Linked DNA regions of Caenorhabditis elegans. The protein of the gene in region 1 purifies or fractionates together with the protein of each later gene. This does not show direct contact. Each region holds a gene or a part of one and is shown on either strand. Other genes may lie near its edges.

Region 1 (3,755 bases):
TACTGCTGTACGGTGATGATCGATCGGAGGAACCTTAAAAAATTTAGCTTTAAAGTTTTATGATGAGATTTTAAGATATTACCTTGTTCAAATCGATTGCAGGTTTGGTTCTGGAGCTCGCATTCATTGCTGGTGATCTAAAAATTAATTAATGATGCAATTAATTACAAGAAATGGAAATATGAAAAAGGCACAAACCATATAAGTTAGATTCAAAGTAAATTAATTAGATTAATTTGCGAAAAATACTAGAATTTATGATAAATTTAGAAATCAAAATAGGATTGACGGATAAATATGTGCATGAACTAAATAAAAAATCACAAAACGGCAATGGAATTTTGATATTGCGAGAAGAAAGTGAGATAAAGCCTTCAAGACTTTTTGGGAAGGGCGATAGGGCAACAGATTCAAGAAGAGAATAAAAATTTACAAATTAATTATTTTGGTAGATCAACTACGCGGATTTCTTCAATCGGCTCAATTTGATCAATATGACCAATATTTTGATTATGGCGGGGCGTACTTTGAAGTGAGCTATCACTGCTTGGAACGGGAGATCTGTCGAGCACTGAGCCAAGATTAAGAGGAGGAAGACGTTCGTCGGGAGTTAGAATTTCATTAAGCGTTTCAACCATTGGCACAATATCTTCAAGAATTATCTGAAAATTAATTTTTGATAAACGGAGCAAGTTTTTTGAGCAAAAATGTAAGGTGCAACATTTTAAAAATCAATTTTGGTATGATGCATTAAATATTGTTTCTTTTTCTAATTCGCACCTGAATACTACAGATGTCATCGTGCAATTGATTAAGTCCGCTCAATGCAGCCATAAAACCGTCATGTTGTTCTTTATGAGCTCTTGTTTCTTCAATAAGTCTGATCATTTTCGCTTCAACACTCTTGCAAGTTGCTGGAATTTTAGCTTGATCTGCTGCCACTGCTTTCGCATTAACGGCAAAATGTTCTTGTAATCGTGTTGCTAGTCTGAATATGTGACTTTAAAACTTTGAATAAAAGGAATAAATCTTACCGAAAAAAGGGCCGCGAACTGATTTTTTGATGAGTGTAAGAAGCTCCTTGATTCGTTTGTGGATCTCGTTTGCCTATTACGGCTGGAATCACCGGCAAAAAACGGGGAATTTCGGTGAATCTTTTGTAAATTTCATCATCTTCGAGTTTTTCTTGAGGAATATTGCCATCTTTGACCGTGATAATGCCTTTTGATCGTTTAGTACTGGCTCGAGTGAGAAATGAAAAAGACGACTGTTGATTTTGAGGATTAGATGATGTGCCCGCTGTTGACGAGCTTTGTTCGTTTCCCATCTGAAAATTTGTGTAAGAAGTTAAAAAATTACATCAACTTTCACAAACCTTGATTTAATTTTTTGTACTATTGATGGTTGGTCCCATTTGAATTTGATCCAAACCAGTCTCGTTCCAGGTAGTGTTTGGGTCGGCGGGCTGACGAGCAATGGTGGGAATTGCGTCGGTTTCGATATCTGGCTCAAACTCGCGCGGAATTTGAATCTCGGTCTAAAAATGAATAATTTTAATTTCAATACTTACGGGTTTTACACTTTAATTATTCGAAAAGCTTGTCACAAACCTTTGGCAGACGCTGGAATATCCACTCTTTGTCCCACTCTAAAAATGTGTGATCAAGTCGAACTTCTGATGGGACGAACGACATACGATGGCTTTCTCCGAAGTTTCCTTATCCTGTAATCAATAATTTTATGTATTTTTAATCGGAAACGTTTAAAATAAATGGAAAACTCCAAAAAGGAATAAAAAGAAAAATTGTGCAGACCTGGAGAGCGCGTTGAGTTTGAACACATTACGAAACGAGAGACGCAGAGAAAACCGATAACTGAACAGTTGCGCTCTACTGACAGACGACCGAAATATGAATTCTAGTCCCTCGGCCGCCAAAACGGATTTTTCAAACTCCAAATTTATTTTTCCTATTTTTTGTGTTTTTTCATCTTATTTTTAGCGCACCAAGTGTTGATCAACTATGAGATGAGCGGTGGGAAGAGTGGTTCAAGATTGAGTGTAGGTATTTCTACTATTTTTGCCGATACCATGTAAGAATCTATATTTTCTTCAGGCCTATTCACATTTAAAAGAAATCGGGAAAGGTGGATTCGGCGTTGTATATGCAGCACAAAGAGAAAATGGAGAGAAGGTGGCGATTAAGAGGGTAAGTTTCATGCTGTTTTCTAAAGATATTCGAATGGGACAATTTTTCTACTTTTTTTCTTTACAAAAATTGTATTTTCAGATCGATAAAAAGGTGCCAAAAAATCGTGTTTGGACGGAAATTCAAACGATGAAGGAATTGAAGAAAAGCAAATATGTGGTCGAGTTTTACGAAGATTTCGTTGAAGATGGTTATACATACATAGTCATGGAGTTGTGCGAAGGAGGATCTCTTCAAGCTTATGTGCGGGAGCACGGAGCTCTGGACGACGCAACAGCAGTTCATGTTTTACGACAGCTGATTTCTGCTGTATCTTTTATGCACAGGGTGAATGTTATTCACCGAGACCTCTCGGCTGGTAATGTGTTCATCAAAGACTCGAAAAAGAAGAAAATGACGGTTAAACTTGGCGATTTTGGCCTCGCGACCACTCTTGGGCGTGGTGAGACCACATGTACAATTGTCGGAACACCAGGATTCATTGCTCCACAAGTATACGATCAAGAATATACCCAGTCTGCCGATGTATATTCTCTTGGTGCAGTTCTCTATACTATGCTCACTGCTCGTAATCCCCCACCTAAAGGACTACCACCAACCTGCGGAATGTCACCAAATGCTGCTAGATTAGTGGAACAAATGATGGATACAGATGCAAAGAAGCGTATTCCGTTAACGCAGATAGTTTTATCAGAGTTCATGTACGAGAATACGAATGAAAATGCGGTAATCTTCTCGAGAGAACACTCGCGGGATGGACGACGACAGAGATCGAGGGAACCAGTAAGATCCTCAAGAGATGATCGATCTCGAGATGGCAGAGCTCTGATAAGGTCTTCGAGTCAACCTGCACATTCTGGCAGAGCACCGCTGAGCAATCGACCAATTCATGACAGGGTAAGTGTTCCAGCAGATCACAAAAATTTTATTTTATTTTTGACAATTAAATGCATTAAAAATATATTACAATTTATTTTTAGATGCCTTCTACATCTTCAAGAGGATTTGATTCTGAGAGAGGAAGAGAACGGGATAGAGACAGTGGCCGCGGTACCGTACCTCCAAGCCGTGAAGATCGAAACCGTTCACAGTTGTGGCCGATCCGAATGGATAGGTTAGAAGGACAAAGAGTTTGTACTGCTGGAGGACGATATATTGTTGAATTGGATACTCGTTGTCGGTTTGAAGTTGCAGCTCAAGGGAATTTCGTTAAACGAATTTTGATTGTCGAAGTTGATGAAATGGTTCAAACGGTTTATGTACATCGAATACCTGATAGAACAGTACGCGGAAGAAATGGAGAAGAAGAATTGATTACGTTGACGAACAATCCTTTTGTTTATACTTCGTAAGTTAATTATTCTATTAAAAAACGGAAACGTTTGTAGAAACTAGTAACACCATATTTTGTCTTCTTTTCTAAATTTTTAGCTGAAATTATTTTAAAAACGTTCATTCCGCCAATAATTATAACAATGAACAATTTAATATCCTGGAGCAGTTCTCGGTGTTGGACAGTGTTCACATCCTCCTCCGGTTCCTGGTTCT
Region 2 (3,755 bases), on another chromosome or scaffold:
ATGGTTGTGTCTGGATCTCAATGATCTCGGATGAAAATGGGAGTAATTAAATTGTGCCTAAAAGTAGTTTCAAAGTTGCATCCATTTTTGATGCTTCCACTTCAACTTTTGAACACACGTAGATTACCAGAATTTCAAATCGGATCAGAAAGTAAATACCGTAGTTCTTTTGTTGTAGGGGTGGGCGGTAATCAAGGAATTTTCTAAAAAATGTTCAATTTCGGCAATTTCTGAACATGCCGTTTTTCGATAAACCAACAAACAGATCATCATATTGTAATCAAAAAGTTTGTAAGTTGGCCATTTATATTTGAAAATAAATAAAGCTCTACAAAAATAATACATTTGTTTTTCTGAAATACCCATTTTTAATAATTTGTGGGCAACATATAATAGTCTTAACAACAGACTGAACACTTTTTAATTTTAAATCAGGTATACCCACTATTTCATTTTCTAGACACCATACCGAAAACCCTAAATTTTGGCAACACGTATGATGTTGGTATTTGATTTTATCCTTAAATTTACAATTAGAGCTCATTTTTATTCTGTTTTTGTTTCTATAGTTTTGCAGTTCAAATTTTAATTATAATGTGAAAATCTTCCAAGAAAACATTTTTTCAGCTTTCCAAAATCGTTCTACAGAAATTTCCGAATTGGTCAGGTCTCTTTCAACTAATCGAATTTTTTGACATACTGGAGCTGGACTAGTATCAAAATTGCCAAATTATTTTAATTTAATTATTTTCATGTTTCGTCGTCCTTTTTTTATCGAAATGATATAGGTAGAAAGGCGTGAAAATAAAAATATATTTCACGAATTTATTGTCTGATACCAACGTCATTCTTGAATAGATTTGGATTTTATTTCAGTTTTTATTTCACTAAATAAACATATCAAAAGTGTTGGAAATTGTGGCTCCTCCTGAAGTCGAACAATCGGAATTTCCGTTTTCAGAGAATGTAGGCTATTTCAAATAATCGTATTTTTCGGTTTTGTGCAATTTCTAGCATATTGAATATATATCTTGCAAATGTGATGTGTTGCTGACAAATATGAATTTTAACTTTCGCTGATAAATATCAGTACAATTTATGAATTGAATCCTCTCAATCACATCTCAATTCTTTCATATTCGTCCCCCCGCAATACAAAGCCAATAAAGTGTGAAAAACAAAGAAATGGAGCAAATAGTGAGCTATGACTCAACTAACGTATTTCAGATGGGAATTGCAGTTTAGTCATGAATGTGTTATCATATCAGAAATAGTTCTTGACATTTGTGAAGAAATATTATACAGAAATTCCAAAGCGATTGTTTCCAATTGTGGCAGGTGTTCGTGTCTCTTTTTCTGTCAGTTTATGGTATTCATTTCCATAAAATTACCCCCTCGGTAGCCACAGATGGTCATAATTCTTTTGAATTCAGTTATGGAAATACCACATTACGTTCAGAATGTTACAGATTTTAAATCATTTTTCTTTTGTGGTTGTAAATTGAATCACTTGTTTTAAAAAACCATATTACCTATATGTATTATTTTATTCAAAAACTGAATTAATATACTCAGTTTAAAATTTCAAAACAAGAGTTTTCGTGGGATGCAGTTCGTTTTTTAAATTCCTTATTATCCTGAAATTTATAAGGATGGTTTACTTGTGCAATACGAAACAACCTTTCCGTAAAAATGATTTTGAAACAAGGTTGAACACATTTTTCTGCACCATCATGAAGGACGAGAACCCAGCTGTCATATGCAACAGCAGTGACCATCGAACACCTGCTTCTTCTGTGAAACTGATTATGTGACCGACAAGTCGGACATTTTATATTTTATTTTACACGAGAATATTTGTTGAAGTTATCTTATCAACTTTATACACTTTATATGCATAGAAAATGTTTCATCGTGTGAACATCAAGTGAACAAACGTGCGCGTCGGAAAATGCGTCAAGCGGTTATTGGCGCACTACTGGATGCCTTGACGCATATCGCGTGCAAAAAGCTTTCATCTTCTCTTCTCATTTTCTCACGAAAATCATAGTTTTATCGACTTTCCTTTTGTGTTCAAATTCTTCATTCCCAGTAGTTTTTGTCCTTTATTCATTTCCAATTCTTTTTCAGCCATATGTGGCCACGAAATGATGTACACATGGATGATGGATCGATGACACCGGAGGACCAGGAGCCTGTTACCGATAATGATATGGAATATAATGTATGTTAACATTTACAACCCTTTTCAGAATATAATTTAATTCTAATTGAAATGTTTGTCTTCAGGACAATGGAGAAGAAAGCTCGTACAGCAATGGCTCTTCTTCCAGCTACAATGCTGACAAATTATCGTCGTAAGCCTTTTTGTAGTGAATATTTATAGCAAAACGTACCAGTTCCAGACCTTTGCAACACAAACTTGATTTATCGGCTTCTCCCTCTCGAAACAACGACCTCAATCCGCGTGTCGAACATTTGATCGCATTATTCAAGGTAAACATATTGATTGATTGTCGCGATCAATCTTTCAGCGTTGCGGCTAATACACATGCAATAAATTAATATTTGAATGCGACAATAATTAGTAACATGACAAAACAATGCATTCAAGCTCCGGTGAGGGTGACCTGTGTATTATTGATTTTTCCAAACCTTGAAGAGAGCACCTCAGCCAGGCATATTCGCTCTATTTTTGCTGAAAAAAAGTGTAATTTGAATTCATTTTAGGATCTATCAAGCGCGGAACAAATGGATGCATTCACACGTCTGCTTCAGGAATCCAACATGACAAATATTCGACAGCTGCGTGCCATTATTGAACCCCATTTCCAGCGTGATTTCCTCTCCTGCCTCCCTGTCGAGGTATTTGTGTTGAAACGGAAAGAAAAATTATAAATATAACTTTTTCAGCTCGGAATGAAAATCCTTCACAATTTAACCGGATATGACCTGCTCAAAGTGGCACAGGTGTCGAAAAATTGGAAATTGATATCTGAAATTGACAAAATTTGGAAGAGTCTTGGTGTCGAAGAGTTTAAACATCATCCAGATCCCACGTAATACTTTTGAACGGGAATTATTTGAGATTAGTATTATCTTTTCAGAGACCGAGTTACTGGTGCGTGGCAAGGAACTGCAATTGCTGCTGGAGTCACTATTCCTGATCACATTCAGCCATGTGATCTTAATGTTCATCGATTTCTAAAGTTGCAGAAGTTTGGAGAGTACGTTTATTGGAAATATTATTTTTAAAGACGTTCCGATCACATTCGATTTATTTTCAGTATCTTCGAACGCGCTGCTGACAAGTCACGTTATCTTCGAGCCGATAAAATTGAAAAGAACTGGAATGCGAATCCAATTATGGGGTCAGCAGTGCTACGAGGACACGAAGATCATGTAATCACTTGTATGCAAATTCATGATGATGTCTTGGTGACTGGATCTGACGATAACACTCTTAAAGTATGGTGTATTGACAAAGGAGAGGTTATGTACACACTAGTCGGCCACACTGGAGGAGTTTGGACATCACAGATTTCTCAATGCGGAAGATATATTGTTAGCGGGTCCACTGATAGAACTGTAAAAGTTTGGAGTACTGTAGATGGTTCACTTCTTCATACACTTCAAGGACATACTTCCACTGTTCGATGCATGGCTATGGCTGGTTCCATGTAAGGCTATTCACTATGATAACTGCTTGGAAAAAGAAATTTAATACTGAAAATTTCGGGTTTCGTACAGTTGAA

Evidence for each region.
Region 2: the proteins of zyg-1 (region 1) and sel-10 purify together in Caenorhabditis elegans (affinity purification with western blotting, with the first as the bait; one study listed by BioGRID). This does not show direct contact.

The regions. Positions count from the first base shown.
Region 1 is NC_003280.10:5,647,748-5,651,502, forward strand, and holds the start of zyg-1 (putative serine/threonine-protein kinase zyg-1), read left to right. Parts: upstream 1-2,000; 5' UTR 2,001-2,026; coding exon 2,027-2,059; intron 2,060-2,114; coding exon 2,115-2,207; intron 2,208-2,288; coding exon 2,289-3,104; intron 3,105-3,187; coding exon 3,188-3,555; intron 3,556-3,646; exon of another isoform or gene 3,647-3,691; coding exon of another isoform or gene 3,692-3,755. Other genes in the region: ddl-1 (WASH complex subunit homolog 3), read right to left, coding at 1-33, 83-127; sam-4 (BLOC-1-related complex subunit 5), read right to left, coding at 441-662, 781-988, 1,035-1,327; F59E12.17 (Anaphase-promoting complex subunit 13), read right to left, coding at 1,382-1,537, 1,611-1,694; bli-2 (Nematode cuticle collagen N-terminal domain-containing protein), read right to left, coding at 3,692-3,755. UniProt on the Caenorhabditis elegans protein: Protein kinase that plays a central role in centrosome duplication, control of centrosome size, spindle formation and nuclear envelope breakdown during cell divisions.
Region 2 is NC_003283.11:13,817,231-13,820,985, forward strand, and holds the start of sel-10 (F-box/WD repeat-containing protein sel-10), read left to right. Parts: upstream 1-2,130; 5' UTR 2,131-2,134; coding exon 2,135-2,224; intron 2,225-2,289; coding exon 2,290-2,357; intron 2,358-2,399; coding exon 2,400-2,496; exon of another isoform or gene 2,497-2,619; intron 2,620-2,730; coding exon 2,731-2,865; intron 2,866-2,913; coding exon 2,914-3,059; intron 3,060-3,107; coding exon 3,108-3,227; intron 3,228-3,287; coding exon 3,288-3,680; intron 3,681-3,755. UniProt on the Caenorhabditis elegans protein: Probable substrate recognition component of SCF (SKP1-CUL-F-box protein) E3 ubiquitin-protein ligase complex, which mediates the ubiquitination and subsequent proteasomal degradation of target proteins.